Caenorhabditis elegans: one gene and its partners. The protein of the gene in region 2 interacts with the protein of the main gene of each other region in a biochemical or structural test. Each region holds a gene or a part of one and is shown on either strand. Other genes may lie near its edges.

What was found. Proteins that work in one complex are often made in the same cells at the same time.
Region 1: of the proteins of ced-3 (region 2) and ced-9, one has a biochemical effect on the other in vitro, tested with the Caenorhabditis elegans proteins (3 studies listed by BioGRID).
Region 3: of the proteins of ced-3 (region 2) and cnt-1, one has a biochemical effect on the other in vitro, tested with the Caenorhabditis elegans proteins (2 studies listed by BioGRID).

What each region holds. Positions count from the first base shown.
Region 1 is NC_003281.10:10,333,408-10,338,025, reverse strand, and holds ced-9 (Apoptosis regulator ced-9), read right to left. Parts: upstream 2,855-4,618; coding exon 2,603-2,854; intron 2,555-2,602; coding exon 2,294-2,554; intron 1,763-2,293; coding exon 1,613-1,762; intron 1,126-1,612; coding exon 946-1,125; 3' UTR 504-945; downstream 1-503. Other genes in the region: ttr-15 (Transthyretin-like protein 15), read right to left, coding at 9-153; mev-1 (Succinate dehydrogenase cytochrome b560 subunit, mitochondrial), read right to left, coding at 3,036-3,134, 3,188-3,550, 3,662-3,748; jmjd-4 (Jumonji domain-containing protein 4), read left to right, coding at 4,008-4,191, 4,238-4,358, 4,411-4,548, 4,598-4,618. UniProt on the Caenorhabditis elegans protein: Plays a major role in programmed cell death (PCD, apoptosis). egl-1 binds to and directly inhibits the activity of ced-9, releasing the cell death activator ced-4 from a ced-9/ced-4 containing protein complex and allowing ced-4 to activate the cell-killing caspase ced-3.
Region 2 is NC_003282.8:13,198,098-13,205,982, reverse strand, and holds ced-3 (Cell death protein 3 subunit p17), read left to right. Parts: upstream 1-1,845; 5' UTR 1,846-1,916; coding exon 1,917-2,051; intron 2,052-2,114; coding exon 2,115-2,260; intron 2,261-2,538; coding exon 2,539-2,792; intron 2,793-3,980; coding exon 3,981-4,312; intron 4,313-5,224; coding exon 5,225-5,438; intron 5,439-5,492; coding exon 5,493-5,620; intron 5,621-5,693; exon of another isoform or gene 5,694-5,843; intron 5,844-5,974; coding exon 5,975-6,214; intron 6,215-6,690; coding exon 6,691-6,753; 3' UTR 6,754-7,722; downstream 7,723-7,885.
Region 3 is NC_003280.10:12,085,866-12,090,806, forward strand, and holds the start of cnt-1 (Truncated cnt-1), read right to left. Parts: upstream 3,004-4,941; 5' UTR 2,997-3,003; coding exon 2,925-2,996; intron 2,880-2,924; coding exon 2,746-2,879; intron 2,608-2,745; coding exon 2,431-2,607; intron 1,777-2,430; coding exon 1,638-1,776; intron 756-1,637; coding exon 666-755; intron 1-665. UniProt on the Caenorhabditis elegans protein: GTPase-activating protein for the ADP ribosylation factor family. Regulates endosome recycling downstream of rab-10 and upstream of arf-6.

The sequences.
Region 1 (4,618 bases), on a different chromosome or scaffold from region 2:
AAACTCACGAGTATCTTTCTCCCAAAGGGTAACCTCCGCCTGAATTCTCTTCTTATTACAAATAGTTGTACCCTTGACAGTGATAGTCTGCTTCTTTGCCTCAACAAAAGCCAAAGCCAAAAGAACAACAGAGGTGAATAGTAAAGCACGCATTGTTGTTTTTTGAATCGTGCACTAACGTTTTTTGTTTTATATACCGACAAAATTCAAGGGAATCAAAATGGGCGGAGCCTATCTGATGGTGAAACAGCGATAAGGCGGGGGGATCGTTTACACTAAACAAAAACATTTTTGTTTCGAAAAATTCAAGGCCATCGAATTGACCGTCGTCTCGAGACAGAAGAGGCGAGAAAGATGAATCATTATATTAAAAAATGATATTTTCCTACTAAACTTTTTTGGATGACGTGATGGCGAAAATGAAAACCGGATTCTCTTGCGCACGCCTATTATCAAAATTGCAGTTTCGTTCCGAAAAAAGGGTTGAATAAAAGAACCGTTTTTTTTGTTGTTGTAGAGAGAAAACAATTTGAAAAAAATAAATACAAAGTCGCGTACGCGTACAGGAATTTGGGGGGAGTTGGAAGAGGCCACACGAAAAGAGACAGTTAAAGTGAAGATGAATTATTGAGATACAGGGGTACTTTGGAAATGTGGAAGAGAAGCGGGAGGCTAGGCCACGGCGAGAAAAGTTAGGGTTTCAGGGTTTTTGACGAAATGTACAGAACACGGAAAAGTTGATATTACGCGGAAGTAGGGTTTGGCCAAAAAAAAAGGCAATCGGAAAAAATTGCAGTAAAATCGTAAATCGACACAGAGAGCCGTAATTTGTGGCCTAGCTTTCCCACTTCTTCCAGTTCAAAGGATGAGAGAATCAGTGAGCAAAAATGAGATTCAAATGTAAGGAGTTGTACATAAATTAATTATTTACACAAATTGAATACGTTACTTCAAGCTGAACATCATCCGCCCACACACGACGACTCCAACGATTCCAATGGCTCCAGCTGTTACTCCAGCGCCAATCATCGACCACCGTCTGTTCTGCTTCCGGCGTCCCACTTTTTCAGCTTCTGCTCGTTCGTAGTCCTCTTTCATTTGTTTTCCGAGTGTCATGAAGTCGTCCTGCAATTTTTTTCTTGATTTTTTATTTTCACAAATAATGCTTTAGAGCATATTCCGGGGAACACAAAAATCCGTGAATGCGTATTTCACAACATATTTGAGGCGGAAATATCTCGTAGCGAAAACTACAGTAATTCTTTAAATGCCTACTGTAGTCGATTTACGGGCTCGATTTTTGAAATTAATTTCTTTTGATTAGTGGTTATTTTCTTTAATTGTAAAAATTTTAAAAATTTAAAGAATTACTGTAGTTTTCTCTACTGGATATTTTGCGCGTCAAATATGTTGTGAAATACGCATTCTGCGAATTTTGTATTCCCGTAACAATAACATTATCATAAACAGTAATATACTTGAATATGTTTCCAGCTGTCCCCCCAAGAGGCTACCGAACCCTGTAATTATCGGCTTACCAACACCCCGGGAAGTCAAGGGTACTAGGGAAAGGGGGATATTGACTTCTAATGTCTATGCAAATACTCCTTACCCAGCTCCGATTGTGTTCCTTCCAGTTGTTGCGGATCCGCGTTTTGATGAACAGCGATGTGTAAACGAAGAGGTTTCGCACTTGTCCCTGCAGTTCCACGGATTCCATCATTTTTGCAGCTACGAAACCGCCGAACGAGATTAGACCTATCTGAAAATTAGAAATTTGCAATTTAATTCGTTCATTTCTGGCGGAAAATTAAGCTTAAAAAAACGATTTTTCTGGTTTTTAATGTTCGAAAATTGAATTTTTGGGGTTTTTCGTTCAGCAAATCAGCAGAAAAACCTGTTTTTCGAAGAAAAAAGTTCAAAAATCGAATTTTAATGTATTTTCCACAAATTTTACATTTAAAAACCGATTTTTGATAAATCAGCAGATCTTTTTCGCAAATACAAATCAAGGAAAATATGCTTTAAAAATATTCGAATAGAAAATAACGTTTTTAATCGAATTCGTAAAGTTTTCTGCTAATTTATCAACAAAAAAAATTACAATCCGGGATCAAAATTCGTGGTTTTTTAATGGAAAACTTTCAAAAAAGACACATAATTGGGCTATTTTTGACCAAGTTTTGCTGATTTCCTGAAGGAAAACAAACAATTTTTGCAAATGTTTTTTCTGCCACCTTTCTGGCGAATTTTCGAATTTTTGCAAACTTTTTTTCAGTATTTTCTCCCTTACCAAACGTCCATAAGACATTGGACATTGATCTGTCTGTGCATTTCCAACCGTCCGAACCACATCCTGATACAGTGAAAATGAGATTCTGGGCACTGCGAGCAGCTGCTCACAGAAGGTCTCAAAATTTTCCGCGTGCTTCTTCTCGAATATCGTTCCCATAACTCGCATCATTTCGTGCTCCGGTTGCACTCCACACGGCAATCCCGGTGCTCCAAACCATTCCATTCCGTTTTGCCGGATTCGGTGCGTGAAATAGTCGACCTGGAAGCAGCAGGAAATTTTATTTACAAAAAAAAATTAAAAAATTACCACAAATCCCTCGATATCAAGCCTTGGCTCTTCCCAATCATTGATTTTTCCATCAATTGACTCTCCGATGGACATTCTTCGCGTCGAAGCCTGCCTACTCGGTGATGGCAAGTCCTGAGCATCACTATTGATTCCAAAATCGGTGGGCTCTGTGCCTTTTATCCCCAGAAACTCCTTCATCTCGCCAGTCGCCATCGTTCGTCGCCGATACGCCGGATTCGTCAGCGAGTTGTCCGCCGTGCAGCGTGTCATCTAAAATTTTTATTCGTTTTCATAATCATAATATACATTCTAGACAGAGAAAAAAAAACGAAGAGGAGAGGTAAATCTACGGAAAAGAGAGAAAATCGAAGAAATCAACGGTAAAAGTAAATTGACGAGAATTGTCGAGGGCTGGGGCGGAGTAAGAAAAAAGAAGGCGGAGCATCTGTGCCTAGGCAGTCTTGTTGCTCTTGTTCTGGCAAGAGTTGAAGACAATGGCGAGAGCAAGAATAGCCGAAAGTCCAGATACGAGATATCCCGATTTGTAGATCTGAAAATTAATTTTTATTTTAAAACAATTAAATTAATAATTTCAACTCCTACCTGTCCAACATTATTGACTCCCTTAGCCAAATCGAATCCTAAGAAGCGAATTCCGTTAAGAGTATGGAAAATGATGGGGAAAGCAATGATGTACTTGAAGACAGCGGTCACCGCGCATGGTAAGTTCCAGCTACGGATGAAATCCACAAAAGCGGTGAAATCGAACGGCAAAACTGCGAATCCGATTCCTCCGACGAGAAGGGTTCCGGCCATTACACAACCGCTGATTCTATGGAATCCGGAGAGCATCCAGGTCAATTGTGGCTGGTAGACGGTGAGATGTGGAGCGATTGGGCGATTCTTGGAGCGCTGCTTCAACAGGTATTCCCATCCGAACTTCTGGATTGGCGTCTTTGCCTCGGACTGTGAATATTATAAATAATTAATTGAAAAGAATGTGTCTGTTATACATTTCTCCTTCATGCGTACACAAAAAATCAACAATTTTCACGGAAAAATTCAAAAAATCCCCACCTTGGTGACGATCGATGTTCCAAAGGAGCGGGAAATCGACGATCTGGCGCCCAAGCGGCACAGAATCGCAGTTGGAATGTTAATCATCCTGAAACAATGCTGATTTTCTTATCAAAATTGAAAAAAGAAACAGGGCGGTGCGTTTCAAAACAAGTGTTGAATTTTGTTGCGGAAATGCACGCACAGGGCACGAGAAGTGCGCCAGCAGCGCGTCTCGTTTGAAGAGATGCGTCAGCAAACGACCCGGGCGCACTTTTCGACTTGTTTTTTGTTCTTTTTTTGTTTTTTTTGTTGCATTTTCTGTGATTTTCTTTGAATAATTATTTTTTCCATTGCAAATTTCAAGATGAAATCTAAAATTCCTCGAATTTCTGATCCATCGACTCCATGGCTAGAGATTTTAGTAAAATTCGGCTTCAAAAATGAGCCTTTTATCCTTGGCGAGTGGAGCACTTCTGGCTGGACAGCCGTTAAAGATTGGGTGCTTCCAAATGGACAGCCAAATAAGGAATATTTGAAAAAGTCCTATGGTTTGTCTGGATAGTTTTTTGTTATGAAAATCCCGTTTCGCTCCAGGAGATTCGAAAGTTCCTATTCTTTGCGGAGGAAATCAGTACAAAACCACTACTTTGAAGGAATTTCTGGAAGAAATGGGCGATCCAGAAGTTTACTTAAAGGATTGGCATTTTCAAAACGAGTAGGAGTTGAATTTCAATTCGAAATTGATTTTTTTAAATTAAAATATTTAGATTCGGAACCTCTTCATACTCCTTGCATCCTTTCTTTTCTCGAGATTTTGTAAATTGTGAGCCATGGACTAGTGAGAAATCGGAAAATCCATTTGGTGACGACTATCGATTCGTTTATATCGGAGCTTCTGGATCCTGGTAGCCTTGGAATTTTCTTAAAAATTAGAAATCCCCTCAAACTTTCTAGGACAAAACTTCATTCCGACGT
Region 2 (7,885 bases):
TTTTGTTGAACGTGTTGCTAAGCAATTATTACATCAATTGAAGAAAAGGCTCGCCGATTTATTGTTGCCAGAAAGATTCTGAGATTCTCGAAGTCGATTTTATAATATTTAACCTTGGTTTTTGCATTGTTTCGTTTAAAAAAACCACTGTTTATGTGAAAAACGATTAGTTTACTAATAAAACTACTTTTAAACCTTTACCTTTACCTCACCGCTCCGTGTTCATGGCTCATAGATTTTCGATACTCAAATCCAAAAATAAATTTACGAGGGCAATTAATGTGAAACAAAAACAATCCTAAGATTTCCACATGTTTGACCTCTCCGGCACCTTCTTCCTTAGCCCCACCACTCCATCACCTCTTTGGCGGTGTTCTTCGAAACCCACTTAGGAAAGCAGTGTGTATCTCATTTGGTATGCTCTTTTCGATTTTATAGCTCTTTGTCGCAATTTCAATGCTTTAAACAATCCAAATCGCATTATATTTGTGCATGGAGGCAAATGACGGGGTTGGAATCTTAGATGAGATCAGGAGCTTTCAGGGTAAACGCCCGGTTCATTTTGTACCACATTTCATCATTTTCCTGTCGTCCTTGGTATCCTCAACTTGTCCCGGTTTTGTTTTCGGTACACTCTTCCGTGATGCCACCTGCTCCGTCTCAATTATCGTTTAGAAATGTGAACTGTCCAGATGGGTGACTCATATTGCTGCTGCTACAATCCACTTTCTTTTCTCATCGGCATGCTTACGAGCCCATCATAAACTTTTTTTTCCGCGAAATTTGCAATAAACCGGCCAAAAACTTTCTCCAAATTGTTACGCAATATATACAATCCATAAGAATATCTTCTCAATGTTTATGATTTCTTCGCAGCACTTTCTCTTCGTGTGCTAACATCTTATTTTTATAATATTTCCGCTAAAATTCCGATTTTTGAGTATTAATTTATCGTAAAATTATCATAATAGCACCGAAAACTACAAAAAATGGTAAAGTCTTTTAAATCGGCTCGACATTATCGTATTAAGGAATCACAAAATTCTGAGAATGCGTACTGCGCAACATATTTGACGCGCAAAATATCTCGTAGCGAAAACTACAGTAATTCTTTAAATGACTACTGTAGCGCTTGTGTCGATTTACGGGCTCAATTTTTGAAAATAATTTTTTTTTTCGAATTTTGACAACCCGTAAATCGTCACAAGCGCTACGGTAGTCATTTAAAGGATTACTGTAGTTCTAGCTACGAGATATTTTGCGCGCCAAATATGATGCGTAATACGCATTCTCTGAATTTTGTGTTTCCGTAATAATTTCACAAGATTTTGGCATTCCTCTTTAAAGGCGCACGGATTTATTCCAATGGGTCTCGGCACGCAAAAAGTTTGATAGACTTTTAAATTCTCCTTGCATTTTTAATTCAATTACTAAAATTTTCGTGAATTTTTCTGTTAAAATTTTTAAAATCAGTTTTCTAATATTTTCCAGGCTGACAAACAGAAACAAAAACACAACAAACATTTTAAAAATCAGTTTTCAAATTAAAAATAACGATTTCTCATTGAAAATTGTGTTTTATGTTTGCGAAAATAAAAGAGAACTGATTCAAAACAATTTTAACAAAAAAAAACCCCAAAATTCGCCAGAAATCAAGATAAAAAATTCAAGAGGGTCAAAATTTTCCGATTTTACTGACTTTCACCTTTTTTTTCGTAGTTCAGTGCAGTTGTTGGAGTTTTTGACGAAAACTAGGAAAAAAATCGATAAAAATTACTCAAATCGAGCTGAATTTTGAGGACAATGTTTAAAAAAAAACACTATTTTTCCAATAATTTCACTCATTTTCAGACTAAATCGAAAATCAAATCGTACTCTGACTACGGGTCAGTAGAGAGGTCAACCATCAGCCGAAGATGATGCGTCAAGATAGAAGGAGCTTGCTAGAGAGGAACATTATGATGTTCTCTAGTCATCTAAAAGTCGATGAAATTCTCGAAGTTCTCATCGCAAAACAAGTGTTGAATAGTGATAATGGAGATATGATTAATGTGAGTTTTTAATCGAATAATAATTTTAAAAAAAAATTGATAATATAAAGAATATTTTTGCAGTCATGTGGAACGGTTCGCGAGAAGAGACGGGAGATCGTGAAAGCAGTGCAACGACGGGGAGATGTGGCGTTCGACGCGTTTTATGATGCTCTTCGCTCTACGGGACACGAAGGACTTGCTGAAGTTCTTGAACCTCTCGCCAGATCGTAGGTTTTTAAAGTTCGGCGCAAAAGCAAGGGTCTCACGGAAAAAGAGGCGGATCGTAATTTTGCAACCCACCGGCACGGTTTTTTCCTCCGAAAATCGGAAATTATGCACTTTCCCAAATATTTGAAGTGAAATATATTTTATTTACTGAAAGCTCGAGTGATTATTTATTTTTTAACACTAATTTTCGTGGCGCAAAAGGCCATTTTGTAGATTTGCCGAAAATACTTGTCACACACACACACACACATCTCCTTCAAATATCCCTTTTTTCCAGTGTTGACTCGAATGCTGTCGAATTCGAGTGTCCAATGTCACCGGCAAGCCATCGTCGGAGCCGCGCATTGAGCCCCGCCGGCTACACTTCACCGACCCGAGTTCACCGTGACAGCGTCTCTTCAGTGTCATCATTCACTTCTTATCAGGATATCTACTCAAGAGCAAGATCTCGTTCTCGATCGCGTGCACTTCATTCATCGGATCGACACAATTATTCATCTCCTCCAGTCAACGCATTTCCCAGCCAACCTTGTATGTTGATGCGAACACTAAATTCTGAGAATGCGCATTACTCAACATATTTGACGCGCAAAATATCTCGTAGCGAAAAATACAGTAACCCTTTAAATGACTATTGTAGTGTCGATTTACGGGCTCGATTTTCGAAACGAATATATGCTCGAATTGTGACAACGAATTTTAATTTGTCATTTTTGTGTTTTCTTTTGATATTTTTGATCAATTAATAAATTATTTCCGTAAACAGACACCAGCGCTACAGTACTCTTTTAAAGAGTTACAGTAGTTTTCGCTTCAAGATATTTTGAAAAGAATTTTAAACATTTTGAAAAAAAATCATCTAACATGTGCCAAAACGCTTTTTTCAAGTTTCGCAGATTTTTTGATTTTTTTCATTCAAGATATGCTTATTAACACATATAATTATCATTAATGTGAATATCTTGTAGAAATTTTGGTTTTCGTTCTAGTATGCTCTACTTTTGAAATTGCTCAACGAAAAAATCATGTGGTTGTTCATATGATGACGAAAAATGCATTTTTTATATATTTTCCCCTATTCATGTGTGCAGAAAAATGTAAAAAAGCGCATGCATTTTTCGACATTTTTTACATCGAACGACAGCTCACTTCACATGCTGAAGACGAGAGACGCGGAGAAATACCACACATCTTTCTGCGTCTCTCGTCTTCAGCATGTGAAATGGGATGTCGGTCGATGTAAAAAAATGTCGAATAATGTAAAAAATGCATGCGTTTTTTTACACTTTTCTGCACAAATGAATAGGGGGAAAATGTATTAAAATACATTTTTTGTATTTTTCAACATCACATGATTAACCCCATTATTTTTTCGTTGAGCAACTTAAAAAGTAGAGAATATTAGAGCGAAAACCAAAATTTCTTCAAGATATTACCTTTATTGATAATTATAGATGTTAATAAGCATATCTTGAATGAAAGTCAGCAAAAATATGTGCGAAACACCTGAAAAAAATCAAAAATTCTGCGAAAATTGAAAAAATGCATTAAAATACATTTTTGCATTTTTCTACATCACATGAATGTAGAAAATTAAAAGGGAAATCAAAATTTCTAGAGGATATAATTGAATGAAACATTGCGAAATTAAAATGTGCGAAACGTCAAAAAAGAGGAAATTTGGGTATCAAAATCGATCCTAAAACCAACACATTTCAGCATCCGCCAACTCTTCATTCACCGGATGCTCTTCTCTCGGATACAGTTCAAGTCGTAATCGCTCATTCAGCAAAGCTTCTGGACCAACTCAATACATATTCCATGAAGAGGATATGAACTTTGTCGATGCACCAACCATAAGCCGTGTTTTCGACGAGAAAACCATGTACAGAAACTTCTCGAGTCCTCGTGGAATGTGCCTCATCATAAATAATGAACACTTTGAGCAGATGCCAACACGGAATGGTACCAAGGCCGACAAGGACAATCTTACCAATTTGTTCAGATGCATGGGCTATACGGTTATTTGCAAGGACAATCTGACGGGAAGGGTACGGCGAAATTATATTACCCAAACGCGAAATTTTTGCCATTTTTGCGCCGAAAATGTGGCGCCCGGTCTCGACACGACAATTTGTGTTAAATGCAAAAATGTATAATTTTGCAAAAAACAAAATTTTGAACTTCCGCGAAAATGATTTACCTAGTTTCGAAATTTTCGTTTTTTCCGGCTACATTATGTGTTTTTTCTTAGTTTTTCTATAATATTTGATGTAAAAAACCGTTTGTAAATTTTCAGACAATTTTCCGCATACAAAACTTGATAGCACGAAATCAATTTTCTGAATTTTCAAAATTATCCAAAAATGCACAATTTAAAATTTGTGAAAATTGGCAAACGGTGTTTCAATATGAAATGTATTTTTAAAAACTTTAAAAACCACTCCGGAAAAGCAATAAAAATCAAAACAACGTCACAATTCAAATTCAAAAGTTATTCATCCGATTTGTTTATTTTTGCAAAATTTGAAAAAATCATGAAGGATTTAGAAAAGTTTTATAACATTTTTTCTAGATTTTTCAAAATTTTTTTTAACAAATCGAGAAAAAGAGAATGAAAAATCGATTTTAAAAATATCCACAGCAACGAGAGTTTGAAATTACAGTACTCCTTAAAGGCGCACACCCCATTTGCATTGACCAAAAATTTGTCGTGTCGAGACCAGGTACCGTAGTTTTTGTCGCAAAAATTGCACCATTGGACAATAAACCTTCCTAATCACCAAAAAGTAAAATTGAAATCTTCGAAAAGCCAAAAAATTCAAAAAAAAAGTCGAATTTCGATTTTTTTTTTGGTTTTTTGGTCCCAAAAACCAAAAAATCAATTTTTCGTCAAAATACCAAAAGAAACCCAAAAAATTTCCCAGCCTTGTTCCTAATGTAAACTGATATTTAATTTCCAGGGAATGCTCCTGACAATTCGAGACTTTGCCAAACACGAATCACACGGAGATTCTGCGATACTCGTGATTCTATCACACGGAGAAGAGAATGTGATTATTGGAGTTGATGATATACCGATTAGTACACACGAGATATATGATCTTCTCAACGCGGCAAATGCTCCCCGTCTGGCGAATAAGCCGAAAATCGTTTTTGTGCAGGCTTGTCGAGGCGGTTCGTTTTTTATTTTAATTTTAATATAAATATTTTAAATAAATTCATTTTCAGAACGTCGTGACAATGGATTCCCAGTCTTGGATTCTGTCGACGGAGTTCCTGCATTTCTTCGTCGTGGATGGGACAATCGAGACGGGCCATTGTTCAATTTTCTTGGATGTGTGCGGCCGCAAGTTCAGGTTGCAATTTAATTTCTTGAATGAGAATATTCCTTCAAAAAATCTAAAATAGATTTTTATTCCAGAAAGTCCGACGAAAAAATTGCGATATAATTACGAAATTTGTGATAAAATGACAAACCAATCAGCATCGTCGATCTCCGCCCACTTCATCGGATTGGTTTGAAAGTGGGCGGAGTGAATTGCTGATTGGTCGCAGTTTTCAGTTTAGAGGGAATTTAAAAATCGCCTTTTCGAAAATTAAAAATTGATTTTTTCAATTTTTTCGAAAAATATTCCGATTATTTTATATTCTTTGGAGCGAAAGCCCCGTCCTGTAAACATTTTTAAATGATAATTAATAAATTTTTGCAGCAAGTGTGGAGAAAGAAGCCGAGCCAAGCTGACATTCTGATTGCATACGCAACGACAGCTCAATATGTTTCGTGGAGAAACAGTGCTCGTGGATCATGGTTCATTCAAGCCGTCTGTGAAGTGTTCTCGACACACGCAAAGGATATGGATGTTGTTGAGCTGCTGACTGAAGTCAATAAGAAGGTCGCTTGTGGATTTCAGACATCACAGGGATCGAATATTTTGAAACAGATGCCAGAGGTACTTGAACAACAATCGATCTGCTAACTTTTTAAGGCACAGAAAAATAGGCAGAGCGTCCTTTTGCAAGCCTGCCGCGCGTCAACCTAGAATTTTAGTTTTTAGCTAAAATGATTGATTTTGAATATTTTATGCTAATTTTTTTGCGTTAAATTTTGAAATAGTCACTATTTATCGGGTTTCCAGTAAAAAATGTTTATTAGCCATTGGATTTTACTGAAAACGAAAATTTGTAGTTTTTCAACGAAATTTATCGATTTTTAAATGTAAAAAAAAATAGCGAAAATACATCAACATCAAGCATTTAAGCCAAAAATTGTTAACTCATTTAAAAAATTAATTCAAAGTTGTCCACGAGTATTACACGGTTGGCGCGCGGCAAGTTTGCAAAACGACGCTCCGCCTCTTTTTCTGTGCGGCTTGAAAACAAGGGTATCGGTTTTAGATTTTTCCCCAAAATTTAAATTAAATTTCAGATGACATCCCGCCTGCTCAAAAAGTTCTACTTTTGGCCGGAAGCACGAAACTCTGCCGTCTAAAATTCACTCGTGATTCATTGCCCAATTGATAATTGTCTGTATCTTCTCCCCCAGTTCTCTTTCGCCCAATTAGTTTAAAACCATGTGTATATTGTTATCCTATACTCATTTCACTTTATCATTCTATCATTTCTCTTCCCATTTTCACACATTTCCATTTCTCTACGATAATCTAAAATTATGACGTTTGTGTCTCGAACGCATAATAATTTTAATAACTCGTTTTGAATTTGATTAGTTGTTGTGCCCAGTATATATGTATGTACTATGCTTCTATCAACAAAATAGTTTCATAGATCATCACCCCAACCCCACCAACCTACCGTACCATATTCATTTTTGCCGGGAATCAATTTCGATTAATTTTAACCTATTTTTTCGCCACAAAAAATCTAATATTTGAATTAACGAATAGCATTCCCATCTCTCCCCGTGCCGGAATGCCTCCCGGCCTTTTAAAGTTCGGAACATTTGGCCAATTATGTATAAAATTTTGTAGGTCCCCCCCATCATTTCCCGCCCATCATCTCAAATTGCATTCTTTTTTCGCCGTGATATCCCGATTCTGGTCAGCAAAGATCTTTCTCATAGCCCATTCCATTCGAGCTTTCTAATAGGAATTTGAAAATTTTCGAAATTCCAGTAAATAATATTGGAAAATGGATTTTTCGAGTTTTCAGCAACACAAATTTACTTGAAACCCCATTTTCCAAAATTTCAATTTTTTCAAATTTCCCGCTATCTTCCAAAATACTCTTGTACGTTTATTATATTTCCCTCGTTTTTCTTCGATTCCTCCTCTCCGCGCACCCAATAAGTTTTATATATGTTGAGATTTATATAGCTTGTTATTATAATTATATATTTATAGATTATTATAGTTGCTTTTCTCGCCGTATGTTTGTGTGTGTGTGATTGGTATACATAGATAAAAGAAAACAAGGTGTTAACAAAACAAAGGTGAAAAATAATCAACAATTAAAGAAGGAAACAAGCTAATATAAAATTTCGCACATATATGATATGCAAGCTTCTGACAATTCCCTAGTGAGTACTACAGATTAAGAATATGTGCACAAAAATTAAAGGCTGAATTTAAGCTTCTCAAACCTCCCAGATTACAAATATTACG
Region 3 (4,941 bases), on a different chromosome or scaffold from region 2:
TAGAATGCTAAACGGCTAAAAGTTGGAAGTTTTTGAATATTTTAATAAGAAAAATTCAAAGGAAAATGGCTAATATTGAGATGTTTTTTTTTAATTTTTGAGTAAAAAACGGGAAAAAAATTATTTTTGATTTTTTTTTACCAAAACTATAACTACAGTGGAAAAAAGTTTTTTTGAAATTTTTAGTGAAAAATTATAATGCGAAACTGCTAAAAATTGAGAAATTTTGTAATTTTTGAGTCAAAAAACTTTTAAAAAAATTTATTTCGGGCTTTTTCGCAAAATTTAAAATTTCAAAACTCTCAAGTTTTTGAGTTTAAAAATTCAAAAACAAATTTTTTAACAAAGTTCTAATGCATTACAGTTTAAAATAAAATATTTTGAATTTTTAGTTAAAATTTTTTTAAAAATTTTATTTTAATGTTTTTTTTTGGCAAAAGTAAAATGTTAAACGGCTACAAAAAAATTTATAAATTCTTAAATTTTTGAGCAAAAAATCAAGAAATTGATCTTTCTAAAACTCTTACAGCTAAAAATAAAATATTTTGAATTTTTTTCAAATTTTTGGAAAAAAAAAGTTTCCGTTATTTTATGTGATAACTCTCACATTAGCCGAGGGAATTTCTAATTTTTTTAACCAACAATTTTCAAAATTCAAAACGAACCGCATCGAGAATCATATGGTCCTTGTGTGCATGTGCAATATTAATATTTGCCACGTAGTCGAGTGTGGTGTGTGCGAAGCAAGTGCCGACCTGGAAAAGAGCGGGTTTCTTGGTTTGAAAAAAAAAATGTTTTTATTTGTTTAAGGGTTTTTGAGTGGTTTTTCTTGCAATTGAGACGCTTTGTGAGAAACTATTTAAGGTGAAGCAAAAAAAAAAACGACAAAATTGAATGTTTTATATAACCAGAAATTTTGATTTTGTTAAGAACATTTTTAAATTTTTCGATTTATTGTTTAAAAAATAGACTTTTTTTTTCAGAAAATTCTTTTTTTTTCAGTAACATTATTAAATTTTTATCCAAAAATTAATCAATTATTTATTTTAACAATTTCTCGAAAAATAAAATAATCTTGAAAAAAATAAAAAAGAAGATAATATATTTGGAATTTTTTTTACTGTAAAATCGGCTTTTTTTGATAAATCAATATTTCTTTTTTCAAAAAATTGATTGTTCGCTTTAACGATTTTTATATTTCTCGAAAAATATAAATCTTTAAAAAATTACAAAAGAAATGTTTTTAAATTTCTTTTCAGTAAAAATGGGCATTTTTCAAGAAAGTCGATTTTGAATTAGGTTTTTTTCTCTGTTTTTTTTAGTTTTTCGAAAAATTAAATTTAAAAAAAAAATTTCAGTAAAGTTAACATTTTTTTGATGAATCAATAATTTTTGTTGCAAAAATTAATTTACGATTTTTATATTTCTCGAAGAAAAAATTTTAAAAATTTACAAAAAAAAATCACTAAGTAATTTTTTTGGCGAAAAAAAGATATCTGTTTTTTAATTTGTAAAAAAAAATTTCAGTACAATACCTATTTTTAGAAAGAAATTTTTTTCAAAAATTTGGATGAATTTTTTTTTGGTTTTTTATCGAGAATTTCGAATATTTTTCGTTGAAAATTCAAAAAACTCACCGCAGTAAGTGCATTTCGCCCTTCTGTCGCATCTGCAGGCTTTTGCCTTGAAATACTCGCATTTTTGACTAATGCATCATCCATTGATTGGGACATATTCTCAAAATGTGCACGGGATTCTGCCACTTTTGTGAGCTCACTTAAATTAGATTTTAGAGGAAACATTTTTGAATTTTTTTTATTTCGAAAAATCTAATTTTTAATTGAATTTTCAATTTTCTGTTGTGAATTATGCGATTTTTGGTTAAAAACACTTGAATTTTGGCTGGAAATTTATTATTTTTCGAAAAAAATTGCCTTATATTGTTTTATACGTAAAATTGATTTTTTTTTTAATTTGGCGGGAAATTCAACTTTTCAAAAAAGATTTTTTTTTTGAAAAATTACCAAAAAACCCGAGAAAAAATCGAGTTTTGCCTATTTTTTTGCAAATTTTTTTACAGGAATTTTAATTTATTTAATTAATTAATTAATTAATTTTTTCCAATATAGAAATTTTTTTGAAGTTTTCTGGCTCAAAAATTTTTTTAAAATTTTTAGCTCAATCCAAATACCTTTAGTTCAAAAAAAATTAAAATTTTCGATTGTTCAAATTTGTCAATTTTCTGTACCTCTAGAATGAATAATCTAGTAAATCAGCGGGAAATTTGAATTTTTCACCTCTAAATTTAAAGTAAAACGAAATTTTGATTTAAATTCGCTTAAACTCGTTATTTTGTAATTTTCGGCCTTTTTAACTCAGAATTTATCGATTTTTATGATTTTTCGCCAAAAAAAACTCCGGAAATCTCACATTTTAATGAAATTCGACAGTTTCGTGAAAGTGACCACATTTGAATGGTCGAAATACGTGCGAAATAGGTTAACAGTGTGTGCATAGGCTTCTGATAATCCTTGGAATGTTGTAGACGCCAATGGATTGCCGGAGAAGCTTTCATCGCATAATTGATTCACCGAAACCGTTAATTTGCTGGAAAAAACGGGGATTTTTTGAGAAAATTTGAATTTTTGGTTTTGAAACGATTATTTTTCGCTATGTGCCTTTAAAATACAGTAATCTGAAAGCTTAATCGTTTCGAGACCCCAAAAATGAATTTTTTTCACGTACTAAAACGTGTTCGTATAATTTTTGCTGAAATCAATCATTGCAGTGATGTGTCGGAGCATTTCGTTGAGCCGATTCTCTAATCGATTAAAATACATTGCATGTTGAGCGACTGTTGCGCGGAATTTTGGAGAATCCTGCAAAAATTTTAGGTTTTTGGTGTATTTTGAGGGAATTTCTACCTGAATTGCCTCGGAGCAGTCGATTTTTGGCGGAACAGACGGCATCGCCATTCCATTGTTTGATACTGTCATAAAATCTGGAAATTTATCGATTTTATACGAAGAAATTGAGTTTTTTCGGCTGAAAATTGAGAAAAAATAATCAAAAATAATTAATTGATAATATTGCGTCGTCAATTTCAATGCCAAGTATGCAAACACCACAGGTGCACAGAACAAGATCTACCGTACTCTTCAATTAATTAATTGAAGAGTACGGTAGATCTGGTACTGTGCAGCTGTGGTGTTTGCGTACTTGGCATTGAAATTGACAGCACATGTTTATCAATTAATTAATTTGGTTTTTAAAAACGCAATTTTAATAGAAAAAATGTCGAAAAAATGGTAAAAAAACATTTTTCTCTTGAAAATTTTCATTTTTAATAGCTAAAAATAGAAAAATAAACTGAAAACAGTCTTGATTTTAAAAAAATTGCTTAAATTTTTCACTTGAAAAAAATTCAAAAAAGTCTGAAAAGTCCGATTTTTAGAAGAAAAACTAATTTTATCACCATTTTTCTGTACAAAAATTATCGAAACTTATGGAAAATAACAAAATTTTCCCAATGTTAAAATAAAAGTTTTAAGTTTAAATTTTAAAATTAATTTTATTTCCAAAATTTCGCAAAAAAAATCCTATAAAAACGACCAACAATTTTTGGGTAAAAAAACTTTTTTTTTGATAAGTGGCTGTAAATATGCCACGTGGCTTTTGAAATTAAAAAAAAAAACATTTTCAAATGTTTTTTTCAACAACTTAAACTTCCGTATGCGCCTTTAAAGAAAACCAAAAGTCCATATCACTCGCACAATAAAGGAAAAAGAGAAAAATTCCAAGACACGTAACAAAAGCCTCAGAACAGAAAAAAAAAACAGAAAAACAGCCGGTTCTTCTTCTCTCTTGCCGCTACGGCTGCCGCTGATGATGATGGTGATGAACAGGAAAACGAGGGAGAGAAATAGAGAAGAGACGCAGGCAGTTAGACGGCGGGAGAAGAACATCGCGACAACTTTTCGGACGGAGGTCATTGTGTTTGTGGGGGGAAGAAGAAAAGGACGAAATTTTTGGAGAAAAAGGACAGTCGTATATAAACATTCACTGCTTGTTTCTCTAGGAACTCTCTTGATTTTCAATACTCTTTTTTTGTGGAGAGAGCTTGAGAATGAAATTGGGTGAGAGGAGGAGAAGGGGAGGCACCGAGAGCGCAACTAATTTAATATTCTCTTACTTTGCTTTTCTAGGCAGACGAGAAAGAGTTACGGGGAAATTGGAATTTTGCAATGCAACAACATTACACATATGTACACGTGGTACCAGAGTCTTATTTCGGTTTGATCTACGCAGATCTACAAAAAATGCGGGAGTTGAAACGCAGACTTCTCAACTGACTTCGCAAGGTTAAGAGCGTGCTGACGTCACATTTTTTGCGGGAAAAGTTCCCGCAATTTTGTAGATCAAACCGTGTTGGGACAGCCTGGCACCACGTGATTATCCAACAAAAAATACTTTTTTCATCAAAATTTAGTGATAAAATAAAAAAATTTTTTTATCTGAAAATATGTTTTATTTGACTTGGAAACATTGCAAAAAAGCTCAAAAATTAATCGGCAAATCAGCAAACCGGCACATTACCGGAATTGAATTTTCCGGCGAATCGGCAAATCGGCAAATTGCCGGAATTGAAATTTCTGGATAATCGACAAATTTCCGGAATTGAAATTTCTGGATAATCGACAAGCTTGTCGGAATTGAAAGTTTTCGACAAATTGGCAAATTGCCAGAATTGAAACTTCCTGCAAATCGGCAAAATGACAAACAGCCGGAATTGAAATTTCCGGCAAATCGGCAAACCAGGCAACTTGCCGGAATTGCAGTTTTCGGCAAATGGGCAAAATGACAAACAGCCGGAATTGAGATTTTAGGCAATTCAGCAAACCAGCAAATTGCCAGAATTGAAATTTCCGGCAAATCGGCAAA